3 linked regions of the Danio rerio genome follow. The protein of the gene in region 1 purifies or fractionates together with the protein of each later gene. This does not show direct contact. Links are inferred from orthologs where the notes say so. Each region holds a gene or a part of one and is shown in the gene's direction. Other genes may lie near its edges.

Region 1 (6,468 bases):
CACTGCACCATTTCTATACACTGTATTATGCATATTTTTTATCTGCTTTACATCATGTCATGATGTACCGTATACATAAATACAAGTATGGGTTAGTAGGTTAGGGTAATTAGGCAAGTAATTTTATAACTGTGGTTTGTTCTGTAGACTATCGAAAACAATATAAAGTTTAAAGGGGCTAATGATTTTGACCATAAAAGGTTTTTTTCTAAAAATTTAAAATGCTTTTTTTCTAATAAAACAAAAGACTTTTTCCAGAAGACAAAATAGTATTAGATATACTGTGCAAATTTCTTGCTGTGAAAATTTCTTGATCATTTGGAAAATAAATAAATAAATAAAATTTAAAAAAAGGTGTAAAGAGGGCTAATAATTCTGACTTCAATTGTAAAACCACACACAAGTCACACTAGGCTTAGTAAATATATTAAAAAAAGAAAATAATAAAGATATAATTTAAAATGGAGGGAAGAAAAAGTTAGAAACAAATGAACAACTTTTGGATCAATTTGCTCTATATATGTATTAAAAAATAAGATTACATTTTTGACTGCAACCTTTGGTAGAGCACCAAATCTTTTCCATTGGAAGATACTAAGATGCCGAATCCAATGATTGCAAGGGTCAATTGATACATGCAAAATATTTGAAACTATTTGTACTATAATTTGATTGTATTCCATTACCTATTGTATACCCTGGTGAAAAATCCAGCTTAAACCAGCCTAGGCTGGTTGGCTGGTTGACCAGCCTGGTTTTAGAGGGGTTTTGGCCATTTCAAGGTTTTCAGCTATTTCCAGCCTGGTCTTAGTTGGTCAGGCTGGAAAATGACCAGCCAAATCCATCTAAAACCAGCTTGACTAGCCTGGTTTAAGCTGGATATAGCTGGTTTTGGCTGGACTCCCAGCTTGGCTAGGCTGGTCAAGCTGGTTTTAGCTGGTCATCTCTCAGCCTGACCAGCTAAGATCAGGCTGGAAATGACTGGAAACCAGCCTGGAAGTGGCCAAAACCCCTCTAAAACCAGCCTGGTCGACCAGCTAAAACCAGCTAGATTTTTCAGCAGGGTATAGAGGCTGTTATAGTTTCCATTATAATTATTTATCATTATAACCAATAAAACTGCTACAAATTTATGGGTTTCTATGTTTTTTTTATTTATTTATAATTTTTTTTTATTATTAAAGGATGTTAAAGCTCTTTGTAAAAGAGCAGTTTACACCATCCCAGCTGGGAATTAAAGGTCTAAATACTTTTTAACCACATTTGTTCTGCATTTCATGTGTCTGCAACTTCCAAGAAAGAAAAAAAAAAGATGATTAGCAACAAATGTACAAGGATGAGGTTTCACAGTTTCGTTTTAAGGAAATGTCAGAAATGGGTAATAATCCTCATTTCAATCATGACAGAATCTACTTATTTTTCATTTGTGTCTTGTACACTTAAAAAAATACTTTTGCTGTTTGTTCTAACCACAAAAATGAGTTGAAACAAGACACAATAAGGTACAACTTAACTGTTTTAAGTTCAAACTACTTGTATAAAAAAAAGATTAAGCGAACCTAATAAATTTGTGTTGGGACAACATGGAGTGGTGGAACCCAGCATTTATTACAGTGTATAAAATATAGAAAAAAGGCAGCCATCAAATAAAACTAAATTATTTTTGTATAGATAACATCACGCGTAATTTAAAAAAAAAGGTTTTTCTTTGATTCAGCTTTTTCTTTTATTTATTTATTTATTCATTTATTTATTTATTTATTTTTTAAGTTTTTGTCTGAGATTGCCAGGTATGTATCTGAGGAGGGGTTTTTTTTCGTGACAACAAGCTTCTATAGTGCAACAGAATTACATAAACAGGACAAAAAAACTGATAAAAATCTAGTTTAAAAATAGAGGTAGTTAATGCAAATGTACAAAGTGACACGTGTTTGTATTATATGTGCAAACTGGCGTGTAAAGTACGTTGTTAAATAAGTTTGTGTGTAAAAAGAAGTGAAGTTTCTTTCACAATTACTGTCATAAGGTGTTGATGGGATGGATTGCCAGAGGGAACTGTTTCTGTGTCGGGCTGTTAAGAAAAACTAATAGTTGAAGAACATCATTAAAAACTTTTAAACGGATAAAACAACGTTTAACTATAAACACGTGCATTAAATTTGGTATTCTAACGTAAAATGACGATTAGCATGATAAAGCTAATTCTTATTTTACAGACGTTTCTACCCGCCTTCCCAATAGTTGGCGCTTCTGAGTCTGTTTATTAGCGCGAATCCACCGGGTCACACGAAGTAGTGCAAGAGTGAGACACGCGTGCGTTACATTCACTCAATGAGTTATTGATGTTCACAAACCTCCTCGAGCGAACACAAACTTTGAACCTGGGAGATTTTCATACACAAGTGTAGCTCATCATCTCAGCTGCCTGTTGACGGTAAGATTAAAAATATTAGTCTTCAGAAAGCATGAGAAATGTAGTGTATGTAGAGCTTGTGAAATGTGTTGCGGAACAAGCCTGAGCCTGTTTGACCCATTCATTGCTATTAACCTCATTTAAAGTGTCTCAACATGATTTTTGTGATGACTTTTCATCAAACTAACTTAAAGGTCACGAGAATAAAACATGGCTTCAAAATGCTATTAGAGACTGCGTTTGTTTTAAATTTTAGCGGGATGTTCCTTTAAGACGTTGAACTTGAACTCAGATCTTATTCCGCCATGTTTAAATTAGTTTCCTGCATTAAAGCTAAAACAATAACAGCCTCGTCTGTTTTCCCCCTCTAATGCCGTGTTAGCCGATTAACCGCCATCAAACATTTGCTGCTGTCAGTCACAAACCGTGAAGTCACAGCCAGAAAAAGAGGCTGTGTGTCAAAAACTCGTCAGTTGCCTGCAATGACCACATTTATAACTGTTATGATGCCAAAAAAAGATGTGTGCCTGTATAAGACCATACACGTTCACGTGCATTAATGCTATACATAGTCAATATACAGCAAAGTGGCTCTAAATGTAATGTAATGATTTATATGTTGTTTACTTAATATGAGATCTATTTTAAAATTATATTAAACAACAAAAACAAAATAAATTGAATTTACTTTTAAGACCTATTCTAGTCTATCATGTTTTTTTTTTTGTAGGCCTGAAGTTCAGTCTTGATTGCTAGATTGGTTAAATAACTTGTCTAAGAAACTATTTTTTTTTCTCTGATGCTTGTTTGTTAACCTGTCTTTATTCATAGTTTCAGGTTTTGTCAAGCATCTGGGCTTACCATGTCTGCAAAAAAAGCTGTGAAGAGACAAACAGCGGCACCAAGCGATTCAACAGTTGCGAAAAAGCTAAAAGGTCATTATTTCATAAAGACTTTTTAATGTTTCTTTAAAGCATAAGAATATTCATATAGCTATTAGGTGTAAATTTGTTGTCAGAAGGAAACAAACTATGATATGTACCTCAAATTTGAAGTTACTGTTGTGTACTCTGTTTTGTGAATATCAATATAGAGGCCTAGATATACACTCACCAGCCACTTTATTAGGTCCAACTGCTCATGAACGCAAATGTCTAATCAGCCAATCACATGGCAGCAACTCTATGCATGCCATGGCGATCTGCTGCAGTTCAAATAGAGCATCAGAATGAAGATGAAAGATGATTTGAGTGACTTTGAGCATGGCATGGTTGTTGGTGCCAGACAGGCTGGTCTGAGGCAAATGGGCAACAGCAGCAGAAGACCACACCGGGTGCCACACCTCTCAGCTAAGAACAGGAAACTGAGGCTACAGTTCACATAGGCTCACCAAAATAAACAATAGAAGATTGGAAAAATGTTTCCTGGTCTGACATTCTTATGCTAGGGTCAAAACTTGCCATCAACAACATGAAAGCATGGATCCATCCTGCCTTGTATCAATGGTTCAGGCTGATGGTGTAATTGTGTGGGGGATATTATCTTGGCACACTTTGGGCCCATTAGTATCTATTGAGCATCAAGTCAAAGCCAAAGCCTATCTGAGCATCGTGTCTGACCATGTCCATCTCTTTATGACCACAGTGTACCCATCTTCTGTTGGCTACTTCCAGCATGATAACGCACTGTCATAAAGCAAATCATCTCAAACTGGTTTCTTGAACATGACCATCAGTTCACTGTTCTTAAATGGCCTCCGCAGTCACCAGTTCTCAATCCAATAGAGCAGGGGTCACCAATCTCGTTCCTGGAAGTCCGGTGCCCTGCAGAGTTTAGCTCCAACTTGCCTAAACACACCTGCTTGGGTGTTTCAAGTATACCCAAGACCTTGATTAGCTTGTTCGGGTGTGTTTGATTAGGGTTAGAGCTAAAATCTGCAGGACACCGAACCTCCAGGTACAAGTTTGGTGATCCCTGCAATAGAGCGTCTTTGAGATGTGGTGAACGGGAGATTTGCATCATGGAAGTGTAGATGACAAATCTGCAGCAACTGTGATGCTATCATGTCAATATGGACCAAAATCTTTGAGGAATATTTCCAGTACCTTGTTGAATCTATGCTGCGAAGGATTAAGGCTGTTCTGAAGGCAAAAGGGTCGAACCCGGTACTAGTATGGTGTACCTATAAAAGTGGCCAGTGAATGTATATTGATTTGCTTAACAAATTCTAGTTATGGGTTTAGATTAATGGATTTATTTTATCTCTGGAGCCACTCATTTTGTGCCACATGCCTCTGAATGTTTCTATTTTTGTTGATTTGTAGTCTCTCATATCAGTCATGGCCAGGAGAAGGGCCTGGTGCTTGTTCTGGGTCAGGGTGATGTTGGTCAGCTTGGCCTGGGAGAGGATGTGATGGAGAGGAAGAAACCAGCTCTAGTGACTCTTCCTGAGGGTATTGTGCAGGCAGTAGCTGGAGGAATGCACACAGTCTGCCTCAGTGACACGGGAAACGTAAGCTCTACACAAATAACATTAATCATAACAGGCTTGAATAGTCATGTTAGTGGGGATTTGAGGTCAGGACTAAAGTTTTTTTTGTTGTTTTTAATGTCGACTTGTAGGTTTATACATTTGGCTGTAATGATGAGGGTGCGCTGGGCCGGGACACATCTGAGGAGGGTTCAGAGACGGTGCCAGCAAAGGTGGATCTTGGAGAGAAGATCATTCAGGTCTCTGCAGGGGACAGTCACTCTGCAGCCCTCACAGAGGACGGAGGCGTCTATGTCTGGGGCTCTTTTAGAGTGAGTATTGCCTTTTTGTGTGCTGCCTTATAGGTCTGGGTATTATGGCCTGAATTATCATAACATTTTTCATATCAGTTGATATCTGGAATTATCTCGATAAATCGCCACTTTAGAATTATAAGGTTCTATCTGACATTTTTGCCAAAATTGAGTAGACATATTCTTGTTAAATGACAACTTATTGACATTGAGATACTTTTTATAAGGTGTTTACATTTTAAGACTTTTTATTAAAAAAAAAAAAGTTACACGCATACTGTCTGCTATGAAATGCAAAAACCTTGAAGCTTGATATCTCAAAATCAACCTGCACCCAGATAGAACCTTATAATTCCAAGGTGATGAAATGTCAAATCTGTTTTAAGTGCAAGACAGATGTTTCCACGTAAGTGAAAGTTGTAGGAACCATAGTTTATTGTTGTTGAAACATGACAAATGTCAAACAGATGTACATTTAAAAATCCTGACATGCAGTATCTGATAAATATTTATAAAACTTATTAGATGCACCTTTATCTTTTGTTTTATATGTAAAATATATTAAAGGAATGCTTAACTTTTTTTTCTTTTTTTAGAAATAAGCTCCTTTAACAAGTCTACAGTTGCCATTTTTTAATTCATCTAGCCAACCTGAGGCTGGTCTCAAATTAAAGGGATAGTTCACCAAAAATATGAAAGTTTACACAGAAGTTTTACAAAACCTTTGAGTTTTTGTTGAACCAAAATAAGTTTTTTGAAGTAAGCTGGAAACCTGTAACCATTTACTTCCATAGTGTTTGTTAATCATACTATGGAAGTCGGTACAGGTTTCCAGCTTTTTCAAAATATCTTGTTTAACAGAAGAAACTCAGACAGGTTTGAAAGGGGTAAAGGGAGAGCAAATGATTGGGTGAAACTCTTCCTTTAACAGTTTTTCTAACATTGTTATAGAAATTTGATCAAAACAGTAACACCTCTTAATTTGTTGAAATATCCTCTACAATTATTACAAAGCCTAATATAACTTGTTACTCAATCATATGTAAAACCACATTTGCATCTTATTAGTGTTGTGTGTTATTAATGTCATGCTGAAACTGCTTTCTATGTTGATTGTATGAAAAAAGACTAGCCTGAACACATCAAGAATAAATACAAATGCTGTAGCTTAATGACAACAATTGTTCCATTGCTCCTTTAATGCATGTCTACATTAATAATTTGATAATTCATTGATTTGGTATAGTAGTTTGGTACAGTTTCTGCTGGGT
Region 2 (6,373 bases), on another chromosome or scaffold:
TATCTTCTTTGGTGTAGAAGGAAGAAAATCAAATAGGTTTTGAACAAGGGAAGGGTGAGTAAATGATTTCTATTTTATTTCAAGTAACTACACTGTAAAAAATAAACATGATCAATTTGTCATAATAGTGTTTTTTTTTAGTTCATTATAACTTATTAAACTAAGTTATTCAAGTTCCAACTTAATTGTGTAAGTTGCACAAGCTGTTTTAAGTCAGTTCAACAAAACAAGTTTAATGAACTCATAAGGTTAATTTCATTTAGCTTAAAAATTTAAGACGACCAGGATTTTTACAGTCTAGTTTTATTGTTTGTCTATAGTGACCAATTTGCTAAACAACAATTTAAAAAAAATGTAATCAATAAATAAGGTAATATTAACAGTTTATTAGACAGTACATAAACACCACAAGTATGACAACTGTCAAACAGGGGAGGAGCAGGTGATGTCATTATAATGCATGTAAATGGACTAGTAGGACCGGTGGGAACGGGCTCAATCCAGCCCAATCCAAACAGAGCAGCCCATTTCATTCACATGTATGTGCCACAGTGCACGTGTAGCCCTCCTAAGCTCACTTCGGCAGGACGACCTCTTTCACTCGCCCCCTGACCCTGTTAACTTTCAGACCCTCTGTAATGAGCTGATTAATGGCACACTTTAATATAGGAAGCATACAAGGTTTTCACATCAGCCACAGTTATACTTTTGATGCTTTGTACATATGCATGATCAGGAACCCACAATAAACAAAACCAGACTTCCAGAGAAGTTTCAATGCTTTATTGTATTTCTCAAAATAATTCAAAACAGCTGAGACAACAAAGAAATGAAGCATGGTGAGTTTTCTTTTACACAAAGTGAAGTCATAGCCTGAGAAACACAAGAGATTTCTTATCATTTCTAAAATAAGAGCACATTCACCATGTGTGAACGTTAAAAGAGTTAGTGTTTAATTTTGGAGTTTTAAAGAAATAGTTCACCCTAAAATTTAAAAACAATTCTCTCATAATTACCCTCAACACAAAAGAAGACATTTTGAAGAATGTCGAAAACCCAGCAGCCGTTGACCACCAAAGTATTCCAACATTTTTTAAACGAGGAATTTCTTCTTCAATTTTCAGGTGAACTGTCACTTTAATTCAAACTAAATACAAGACACACAACTGAACACAACATATTACTCTGTGTTATCCAAACACACCCATTCTCTATCTATTAATTACTTCAGGAAACCTGCTGTAAAGAAAGAAACTGGAACAGGGGTTACAAAGTAGTTGACTCTGATTCCTGGAAAACATGAGTAACTATATCATAGAAACTTCTAGACACTGAGACACGATTCACAAACAAACATTCATTCAAGCCACATCATACTGATCTCTTCTTCCAAAGTTTACATCGGCATGTGACCTGCATATAATAAAACACAACAAAAGGTAATGAATATAGATCTGATTCACACAACAGCTGATTATCAAATCACACCTGGAGCAATTTAAATGCACAAAACAGCAATGCTGAATTAAACACCAGCTAACACTGGAATAAATGCTGGCCTCTACTAAAAGGGAGATCAGTTGTTGGGCATATCATTTACAAAATTACTATTCCTAAAGTGCAGTAACACTGCTTGTTTAGTTAGCCATTTCAGAAGGTGTGTAATACTGACCACATGCTGGACTAAACGGAAAGACTTCGACACTGTGACCTTGTGGAACGAAGTTTTATTTAAGCCTAAATGACAGCTCGACTAGAGGACAATGTATTCTTGTTCTCATTCTTTGTTCAGTTCAGGCACTACATTAGTTTGCGCACACAAAATCCAGTATTTTTCCATCAACTGACGTTTAAGTGGCGTTGCGTCACGTGACTAGCGAAGAGGGGGTGAACATGCGAGCGTTTGACGTCTGTATGAAACAGCACGCCGATTGTTTATAATGATGTTTTTGAGCGATTCGATGCGTTTATCATCCATCACAACCATACCGGAGTCAATTTCGCGGTAGTTAAGTTTATGGAGACCATCACAAGCCAATTGTATCAAGCTCTGACCCATGCCATGCGTCTCATACCCTGACTCTGAACAACCACTCCCCTTCGTGGCTCGTGGAAAATTACCAGCTTACAATCAGCACAAGTACAAGCTCCAACATCCGCCTCACGGACTCGATGCCCTCGATCTCCTTCAGTCCACCCTGAAATTCATTTTCCCGAGCATGTATGCAATTATCAGACGCGCACTGCTGGGGAATATCAAATTAAAGCTCGCGGCGGATATAAACGCGAATGTTTATCGACGGAGTCGTGCAAAACACGTTACTATTAACGCTAAAACTAGCTTTTCCTTACAATAGTAACAAAACACACGAGAGCAATAATATCAGGAATTACAGGTCCATTCTGCACGCAGTTTGCCTTCTTTTTCTCCAAACGGGCGGAGCGGTCGCGTGGGCGCTAGAAAGAGTATAGATTGATTGACGTGCTCGCCGTCCAATGGTGTGTGAGCGAGGACGTGCTTAGCAACGCAACGGCCATTAGCAGGCCGCCATGGGCGTGACGTTAATCCAAACTTTTCGCGGCGCCATCGGCTGAAAACTAAACCGAGATGGAATCTCCCAGTCTGAACCGGTTTCAACCGGTTACGAGTTTGTTGCTTGTGAGAAGAAGAGGCGCACAGGCTCAGACTCTAATACCGCCCTGGTGCAAAATATACTTAAGTATAGAGCACATTTCTGAAATAAGGTTAACTTTGTTTCGTAAAATGAACCGGAGTAAGAAAATACTGAACTCGCCGTGATTGATGGTGCGGAATTCACATCCTAGTGGTCCTTAAATCAAGCTACTAGCTCGTGTAGTCTTCACAGAGGAATAGTGTGGCTGACCAGCCAACGGCTCATCCTAAAGCTTTTTTTCCAGAAAGCGTGTACAAACAGGCACCAGCGATACTGGATCAAATAAACATTATTTTAGCAACTCTGGCAGACAAGCCCACCTTCTTTCTCTCAAAGGCTTGGACTTTAGGTAGGTAAATTTGGGGTGCAAACTTCTAGTTAGAGTGCTTGGGTTGGTTTGGAGAATGATGATGCTGTGAGATTGTGTTGAAATGAATAGAAATTGCACGTATGGAGGTTGAAGTCGAAAGAAAGTGAGCTGGTTGTGCTGCTGAGTGTTTGTTGGATGTTGCGGGTGTGTGGCGTGATGGCTCCTGGTGTCACGCTGGACTAAATGGTAACGTTATATTTGGGGTTTGTTCGTTTGAAAAATAGTTTTAATCTCACGTAACATCATAACAATAACAACTGCATCGCTTCCGATCACGAGCTAACGTTAGACTTCAGCAGCACGCTTGTTTGGGTTTAGCGAGCGTCATTCAACTGTAAACCGCATTCCGGACTGTTCCAGAGCCAAAGCATTAGTTATTTAAACGCGTATAACGCACCCACAGTGTGTTACTTACCTGGTTTACTGCTGGTGAAGCCTGCAGAGCTTTCAGGTGTAGGGTGCAGAGCATGCTGTTGGTGGGAGGGGTTGCTCCAGAGTCAGCGAGGGAGATCCTTGCAAAGTCACCCCCGTAGAAGTCATCCAAAAACGGGTGTAGTCCGTCAGAAACGTCAGTGTTTTCTCACGGAAGAGGTGTTTGCTTGGACGTTTTAACGTCAGTCGCGCGCTAAAGCGTCCATTCAAGCGCTTTTGTACGATTGTATGCATACGCAGTTGCTGTCATGTACAGCGACGCATTATTAGGGGTTCTAGTCTATATCAACACAACTAGAACATCATAAGCGGCATTATCTTAGTCCAACCCAGTTGTGTTTTGAAAACGTGTGCATGCTTAGTAGCTCTATGTTGGGTTACAGATCCTATTGTGGTCACAGCTTACTGAATGAAATAAGGTGATGTGTGGAAAAGGAGGGTAAATCAACAGGTTGCGCAGTACTGACGATTAGTTATGGCACACCACATCACTTTGTTTATGCCTGCGAGACCCGTGGTCTCATAAAGCTTGACTGTCGTGTCTAAATAAATTCTTGAAATTTCCTCCGATGCCAAACTTCTTTTGGTTCTTGGCCGTAATGCTTACCTCGTTACGCAACAGTTTGGCTTCGGGGTACAAATTGAATTAGCTTGAGCAATGGCCATTCAAGTGTCCTTCAGTCTACTACGAGTCAGCATTAGGTCTTGTGGTTGTGGTCTTATGAAAGTAGAAAGAAAGTGTGTACTAACGCAGAGCGCTCGGTAACGCTACGCCTCTGTTATATGTAAACAATGTCGTCAGCGAAAGGGCTGCCTAGCACGTGGTCTCATTCAGAGAATAATGGCTGGTGTGATGATCATGAGCCCAGTGAGTGTCTCTTGTTTCTCCACACATCAGGATATCCAAGCTGCAAACATGTTACCTTTATCACGCCACCAACCTATCCTATTGTTATTAAGGATTAAACCCTCCATTAGGCACTACTGTGTTGACAGGCTAGAACATATAAGGCTTTTTGGGTGATCCCGAGTTTGGTTGAGGGAGGGGCGTAATGGTCAGCTGTTTGGATTTTTGTACCCATATGTTCATTTGACATGACTTTGCCCCTGCTAGATGTTTCCTCCCTGTCCCCTACAGAGCTCTATGCCAGCAATTATGACAATGTTAGCCGACCACGCAGCCAGACAGCTGCTGGACTTTAACCAGAAATTGGATATCAACCTGCTGGATAATGTGGTCAACTGCCTGTACCATGGAGTTGGGCCACAGGTAAGTAAGATCATTTTACAAATTGGTAAATACAGCACCAGATGTATGTGTTGAAGATATAACATAACATTAGCTGATAATTATCCAGTGCACATCAAATAATAAAATAGTCAATACAAATAACAATAAATGGATTGAAAGGGAAAGTATTATTCTAAGAGTCCTGAAATAAGCATTAATTTGGTGATCATTTGACAAAAGACTGGATAAATATAACCCTGTCTGCACTTTACCAGCAGTGTATTTTAAAATAAAACATCATGTAACTCGTTAATGGAACCAAGCTACTTTGAGGTAATTTACAATATTACTAGCGAAGATGATTATGAAAACTTGATGAAAACAAAGGTACAAAACTGTGTACTTGATAAGTTTAACAAGAAAATAACTACAATTATATGATCCAAATGCATTTAAAAATATATAAAGCAATTCATTTAAATTTTGTGTTGATGTTGAATGATGTATTTCGATTGATATATTGATTGATAGATTCCTAGACACCTATTCAATGTAGTTGGGTGAGATCATCTAGGTCAGGAACGCCCTAACCTTTTCTAATGAAGGGCCAAACATAACTATGGGCCAACTTAATTATGGATTTTGGACCTAAGATTAATAAAATGTATTACAAAATGGCAGTGGATAATTTCCTGATTTATTTAAAAAAATAAATATTTATTAATATATCTTGAATTTAATCATATGAACTTATGCATGATTTTTCAAAACATTTTAAGATAAACAAATTACAATGAAAGCATAATTCCATTTATAACACAAAGGAGCTCAATCGAAAAGTAATCGAAATCGACATTTAGAACCTGTAATTGATCAAATTTTTCCAAGTAAATTTTTTCAATTACTTTCCCTACCATGTGTTGAGTTACGTGACCCCGCTTGTTCAAGGCCAATTTATCCTATTATATTCCATTTTATACTTCTGCCAAGGGCACATACAGTCCAGCAAAGCGTTCACATACCTGCACACTTCTCAAAAAAATGTAATTGCGCGTCACAACGACACGTTGCACAAGCTTTGTGATTGGTCAGTTTGGTAGAGGTGACGTGGGTGCGCGGCGTGGAGAGCCGCGTTTTAGGCACTGTTTGTCTTTATCTCAGTTGTTCAATATTGATGTTCAATAAATAATCATAGACAGTAGATAGTGTGTGTTTCCTTTAATTTTAATCAAGTAATGCACAATCAAAAATCTCTCACTTGTAATATGTGAGCACATTTACTGTACAAAACTTGTCAGTGAACTATGAGGGCAAAAACATAAAACAAATAAATTAAACAATCTTTCATTAATCGTAATCGAGTTAAAATGTTTAATTAATCGAGATTTAGGTTTTAGGACAAATCGTTCAGGCCTAGTTCATGCAGAAAACGGTAGTAAATCTGCACCTGCCTTTGCATTGATTTGCTCACTGATGTATTCTGCATTGTTCTCTATCTGTTGAGTGACAGTATGTTTTATATATATATATATATATATATATATATATATATATATATATATATATATATATATATATATATATATATATATATATATATATAACAGATTCATTTACAACATTAAATTTGAGTTTACTTTTGTGTAGCTTAACAATACAACAAAC
Region 3 (6,143 bases), on another chromosome or scaffold:
CATAACCTGCTCCGGAGCAGGTTATCTTCACAGAGTAAGTTGCTATGGCTACTTAACATACCCAGAAGTTACCTCCGATTTTGGAACCAAAGTTGAGGTTATCCACCTACTTACTCTCAAACTTACCCGTGTATGTCACATAACCTGCTTTCTGGAATAGCCCCCTGCTGTGTAGAATGTGTTTAATAAGTTGGTGGATCTTGTTGTGGCAACCCCTGATGAATAAAGAAATTAAGCAGAAGGAAAATTAATGAATGAATGTTCTTTAGGTAATCAAACAATGTACTTTACTTGCATTAAATCCCTGGCACCTTGTAGGTCTAAGACTGGAAGAGCTGAGCATGTTTATATTTTTTTAGGATCCACAGAACCCCTACAGTCAGTTAAAATAAACCATAGATCATCTATACCAAATAGTTTTCATGTAACCAACTGAGTGTCAGAGGTAAGAGCTTCGTATGAATATGCCGAAGGTTCATTCTTCTCGCTTGCATGGCAAACTTCAATAATAAAAGTTGATGCATCTGCAATTCAGGGCTCTAAAAATGTTTTTAAATATGCAGTGAGATATGAAAGCTTCATTATCAGATTACATTTAAAGTAATCATCTGTCATCTTCCTCACCTCTCATCTTTGATTTTTTAAATCACTAATGTCAAAGTCAAGAAGATCAAAGCATACGGATTTCATAAAAAGCTTATTAAACGAACAACAGTGTATGTAGCTGGCATACCTGGATATTCAACATTTTAATTCAGCAAAACTTAATTTATGTAATATAAAATGTTTCAGAAATAATACAAGGAACATAAAAACAGGTACACACACACTCACACAGAGAGAGACACAATTAACAGAGTGTACAGTGATTTAAAAGATTATCGGGGAGATACTTTCTTTTTTTTTCTTTTTTTTTCTTTTTTTTGCAGTAGCCCGTTTAATACATATCTCAGATATTTTGCTTTTCAGCAGTTTCACAGAAGAAATAATGAAATGAAAATAAAAAAAAACGTTAACATAGGAGATGACTTAGCACATTTTTGTTTATGTATATGACATTTTGCCAATAGAGGTTATCAAAAAAAATCCAGATCTTTATTAGATTTGTTTTTGTAATATGAAAAAATATCAATGTTTTATTGTATCATAATTATCAAACATTGTCTAAAGGCATATTTTGCTAGGCACACCTATATTCAACATTCAAAAATTAAGTTACATTCAAACAGGTCTAAATGTGAGATGCTCTATCCGCTTTACAGAAGCAGCACATATCATCCATATCGATCTTATTCACATGGGTAAACTGTATGTAGGATTCTGAAGTAATTTTATTTGATTTTATTGTTGTTACAGTATTTAACAGAACTTTTTTTTCTTTTTTCTTTTTTTCTATTATATGCGTTAAACAACAAATATGTGACAGTATAGTAAAATAATGCCAGGGTGATAGAAAGTAAATAATAACAACAATACACACACAAAATAGACACTCTATCTTGTTCATTTTTTGAAATGACAACACCTAAATAGTTAACAGCTTCTTCAACTGGTATACCTTCTACAGATAATAGGGGAGAATTTTTATATTTCACAATTTATGAGGAGATTAGGTGCAAACATCAGGCATTAGAGAACAACTGAATAGATTTGATAACCTGATGAACCTGGTTTGAGTCTTTTACAAATAAGGCTGTATCGTCTGCTTACTGACTAATTAAAACATTTCGTCTAGCAATTTGGATTCTAGTGACAGAAGGCTTGGGCTACTATGAGAAACAGGTACACAGAGGCTGGACAGCCTTGCCGAATTCCTCTTTCTAATAGAAATCTCTGTGTAGTTCAATGTCCTCATTTCACTGAGCTATTTCCCCCGTCATACAGCGTACTCATCCCCTTACAAAAGAAGGGCCCAAAACCGAATTTCTCTAAACATGTATTTAACAGCACTTTTTATTTATTTATTAAAGAATGCTAATATTCAACCACAATCAGGAGACTGATATGAGAGAGATACAAAGGAGAGAAAAAAATACAAACTACCTAAGCTGAAGAAAGAAAAAAGAATAACAAAACAAAGTAAATTACAATTGTAAAAAAAGTGTATGAAAATAAATTAAGAGCATTAGGAAAGCTATCTAACTCAACGCAGAGTCAATAGACAACAGTTCTTCATATAGAACCAGTAATTTGACACATTTTTTGTTTTGACACATACGGAAAGATTTGAGCAGTGAGTTACCTTCAATCAGAAAATGTCCAAAAGTAGGGACTGAAGCCATGCACTTTTGCTTATGTTTAAAAAAATCTAAACAAGATAAAAAAGTTAAAGATAAATTCTTTAGATTTATGTGAAGATTCTGAGTGATAACAAATAATTTCTTTTAGGATTTAACAGAACTTTGTGCGTAGCTGAAGTGCGCCATGACGTAGCGCGGCTGCGCTGACGTCACCGTCTCTCTTCTCCGGTTATGCGCGCGCGAAAGTAGCGAAGTGAAATCTCACGAGCTCGCACTGATCAAAACCAACAGATACTCTCTCTAATCGAAAAACATCTGCAAAAACCATGGCGGACACAAAGGTAAGAGGGCCATCATCTTCAGCCTCTGTGTCTTTCGAACAGCGAGAGATGCTTATTTTGGTTGTTTTGTTGGCGATAAATGTTTTATGAGGGTCTTACTTAACAGACTGTAAAAAGCAGGTGTTTTCCCGGTTTTGCATTGTGCGCTTGGATATTCAGACGTTAGAACTTCTTGGTGTCATTTTAAATACTCACTATTGCTTTTTCATACGCTGTCAAAGTCGTTTGTTTATTTACAATCACGCTTTACATTCAGTAGCACCAGTAACGTTATTAAAATTCATTATTCTGTGTCGATTAGCACTCGCTACTTGCTTAAACACAAAGGACAAGCAAATATTGATTTTTAGGAACGTAATAAACATATTCCTCGCATGCTCCAAGTAAAAACGGCTCATACTTTAATTCGAAAGCTTGAAATGCTAACGCACTGTTAGCTTGTGTGTTAGCACTGCTAACCTGCGGCACGTGAAGTTCAAACCCGGTTTATCAACACTCTTCCGGGGTTAATTACGTGATTTAACTGTATTTGCTCAAGCAGTGCAAAATATGGGCTGCGAAACTACGAGTCGAGCACTTAAACGCCTTTAGGCCGCTTATTAGCAGCTTCTAGCTTGGATGCTAACTTAACTGACTGACCACTTTTGAAAACTCGTTTAACTCCCACATTAATTCATACACATCTGATATCCGGTCTTCAGTCAAGTCAGTCGTTTAGCTAAGTAAGCTGCTCAGCTCTGAAAATGCGAAGTGATCAACTTGGGAGCGGTTCAGAGCATCACATCATGTGCAGAAGATCTGCCAGAGTTGATCAGAAAGCTTTTCAATAATTAAAGCTTACAAGGCCTTCATGAATGTGAGACCAGTGATTAGTGAAGAGCAAGTGCATTGATTCCGCCAGCATCACAGCATGCGAGTTCAAGCACCAGTGGATGCAAGTTTGGTTGCAGCAGCAAATTTGGAGACAATAGGCCAAACTCCAGAGAATGATCCCTCCAAATCCCGCAGCCTTTCACTCCACTGATCTGATGAGTAATGTGGAAGCAGGATCCCCACAGAAGGGATCAGGACTTGTGAGCCTCAGCAGAACAAATACTGTAGTAAATGTGTGGCGTTCTCCAAAAATACCTGTTTTAGCTTATGTCATGTTTAAGTTTGATTTAATAAAAGCTGCTCTTTTAATTTTCCCCTCCAGGAGGCACAAGATGAGCATGAACCATCCACTGAGAACGTTGAGGAATCCAACCATGACCCTCATTTTGAGCCCATCGTCTCACTACCCGAGCAGGACGTTAAGACCTTAGAAGAGGATGAGGAGGAGCTTTTCAAGATGTAAGTCATTAACTGAGGTTTATATTAGGGCTGCACAGTAGATGATTTCAGCATTGATATCGCAATGTGAGTCCACAACAGTCTCATCACAGGGATCTGCAATGTAGTTGATCAGACAATACGGTTAACAACATAGTGGCGTTGTTTAAAAATTTTAACCTTCGAATGAAAATGTATTATTTGCATTTGTTTTTAAGACTTGACTGTAGGAATTTGAAGCAAATATAAGCCATTTTGGCACAATACATTAAACGTTTGTAGCTTAAAGACTGATTGGACATTATGTAGTTATTTACTCAATTAAAATGATAGTGTTGTTGTTATACAGTGATCATTTAATTTCGGCTTCTGAATACTGTTTGACTCCCCAGAAAATTATAAATCCTCGTTTGTTTGCATCTTTTCTCTGTTGTATTTAACTTTGCTTGTAATTTTTTTAAATTATATTTTATGCAGATATGCTCCCTTACAGAATCATCCCAGTCGATCTAAAATTGAGTTCTTTACAAGCTATTTGTCATCTGCTGAAATTTATTTAAATTATATAAATTTATATTCATTTATATCGCAGTGAATAAAAATATTTCAATGTCTATTTTTTTTATAGTATCGTGGAGCCCTAGTTTTTTAATATATTAAAAAATAAATAAATAAAAAATCCCATGTAACTGCATTCTAAGAGCACTTTATATCACACTAGCTGTTTCCATCCACTTATTTTTATGCGCATTATGGATATGCTCATAAAAAACTGGTTGATGGAAACGCCAAAATGTGTATAAAAACTTATGCGCATAACTGTAGGATAAACTTTTTATTCGATATAAAAAGATGCGCATAAACTGATGGAAACGCTTTTAACGAATATATTTCAGTATATGCATTAAAGTCATATGATTTTGTTATAAGAGATCATGTGATGATAAAAATATGTGAATGAATAAACCAGCTGGCTGAGCACCCTGTGAACATCTGACATGTTGTTTAGGTGATTCTAAAACGGCTTAACTATTTCAATATTATTGTTATTATATTATTAATAACCTCCAGAATCAAGAGCATCTGTGCTCCGCATCTTATGCCTTCTAATGTCACTACTCGTTCACTGCGTGTCAGGATTGCCTTCTGAGGCGCAAGTCATTTATTAAATGAAGAAAAGATTCACGCAGCTTCTTCTACCACAGCCAATTCAGTTTCTACTGTTGCCACCATATAATTAGTAAGTGACGATTTTGTTTGCTTTGACTTGTTGGATGGAAACTGTTTTATTCACACATCTTTTATGCAATATTCCAGTTTTGTGCATTATTAATTAGCATTCTTTATAAAAACATAGCTACTTATGCATGCACTAAAAAGTTTTTTTATTTGCTTTTTTTAAAAACTGTTTGATGACAGCTTAAAGTGTTGTCAATCACATATATTTATAGATTACTAAAAGGCTTTTATGCTTGTCATTCTGCGAAATTTTTTAATGACCACAGAGTCAGGACCTCAGTTTAATGTTGCATCCAATAGATGGCGAACTGACAGTATAGTGTCCTCTTCATTTTCACTGGGGGCATTAGGACTCACAATGACCACAGGTTGAGCGCCCCCTGCTGGCCTCAAGCACCACTTCCAACAGCAACCTAGTTTTCTCATGTGGTCTCCCATCCAGGTTCTGACCAGGCTCAGTCCTGCTTAGCTTCAGTGAGTAACCGGTCTTGGGCTGCAGGGTGATATGTCTGTGTAAACTAAAACTAAACATGCATTGAGCAAGAAGATTTTACCAATACATATTTTTGTTGGTTTACACTGGAACCATAATTGTACTGTTTTAAAAGCAGCTTTAAAATGCTGGTCTTCTGTAAAGCAAATGTTTTTTTTTTTTTTTGATTTACAGATACTATTGTATACATCAGTCTTGTCATTGATTAACATTAATATGTGATGGACTAACACATCTGATTTTCTAATTACGGTAAAGTGTAAGGATAAATTGTTCAAGTATACTTGCTATTATACTATTCTATTATTATTTTTTACATAATTTGTGTGTTTGGCGTGACTTGAGAGAACTTATTCTGCATCTTTTTTTTTTCTGTGTGTTGTCTTGTGCTTCAATGGTTTAAACTTATATTGTCTTGAAATTACAGTTGACACTTTTGTAAAAGTGTATTTAGTGCTTGCCAAGAGCCATCAGGCACTTATTGTTATATATACAAACTATACATTGAAACTAGGTCAT

What was found. The genes of interacting proteins can lie anywhere in the genome.
Region 2: the proteins of rcc1 (region 1) and xpo1b purify together in Homo sapiens (affinity purification with mass spectrometry; 3 studies listed by BioGRID and IntAct, with this or other methods). This does not show direct contact. The link is inferred for Danio rerio from reciprocal best matches to the Homo sapiens genes RCC1 and XPO1.
Region 3: the proteins of rcc1 (region 1) and ranbp1 purify together in Homo sapiens (affinity purification with mass spectrometry; 3 studies listed by BioGRID and IntAct, counting the BioPlex papers as one, with this or other methods). This does not show direct contact. The link is inferred for Danio rerio from reciprocal best matches to the Homo sapiens genes RCC1 and RANBP1.

The regions. Positions count from the first base shown.
Region 1 is NC_133191.1:37,420,901-37,427,368, reverse strand, and holds the start of rcc1 (regulator of chromosome condensation), read left to right. Parts: upstream 1-2,347; 5' UTR 2,348-2,434; intron 2,435-3,244; 5' UTR 3,245-3,275; coding exon 3,276-3,348; intron 3,349-4,737; coding exon 4,738-4,925; intron 4,926-5,035; coding exon 5,036-5,215; intron 5,216-6,468. UniProt on the Homo sapiens protein: Guanine-nucleotide releasing factor that promotes the exchange of Ran-bound GDP by GTP, and thereby plays an important role in RAN-mediated functions in nuclear import and mitosis.
Region 2 is NC_133192.1:25,313,857-25,320,229, forward strand, and holds the start of xpo1b (exportin-1), read left to right. Parts: upstream 1-2,640; 5' UTR 2,641-3,228; coding exon of another isoform or gene 3,229-3,231; 5' UTR 3,232-4,318; coding exon 4,319-4,345; intron 4,346-4,615; coding exon 4,616-4,747; intron 4,748-6,373. UniProt on the Homo sapiens protein: Mediates the nuclear export of cellular proteins (cargos) bearing a leucine-rich nuclear export signal (NES) and of RNAs.
Region 3 is NC_133180.1:19,737,393-19,743,535, reverse strand, and holds the start of ranbp1 (ran-specific GTPase-activating protein), read left to right. Parts: upstream 1-2,410; 5' UTR 2,411-2,566; coding exon 2,567-2,581; intron 2,582-3,776; coding exon 3,777-3,913; intron 3,914-6,143. UniProt on the Homo sapiens protein: Plays a role in RAN-dependent nucleocytoplasmic transport. Alleviates the TNPO1-dependent inhibition of RAN GTPase activity and mediates the dissociation of RAN from proteins involved in transport into the nucleus.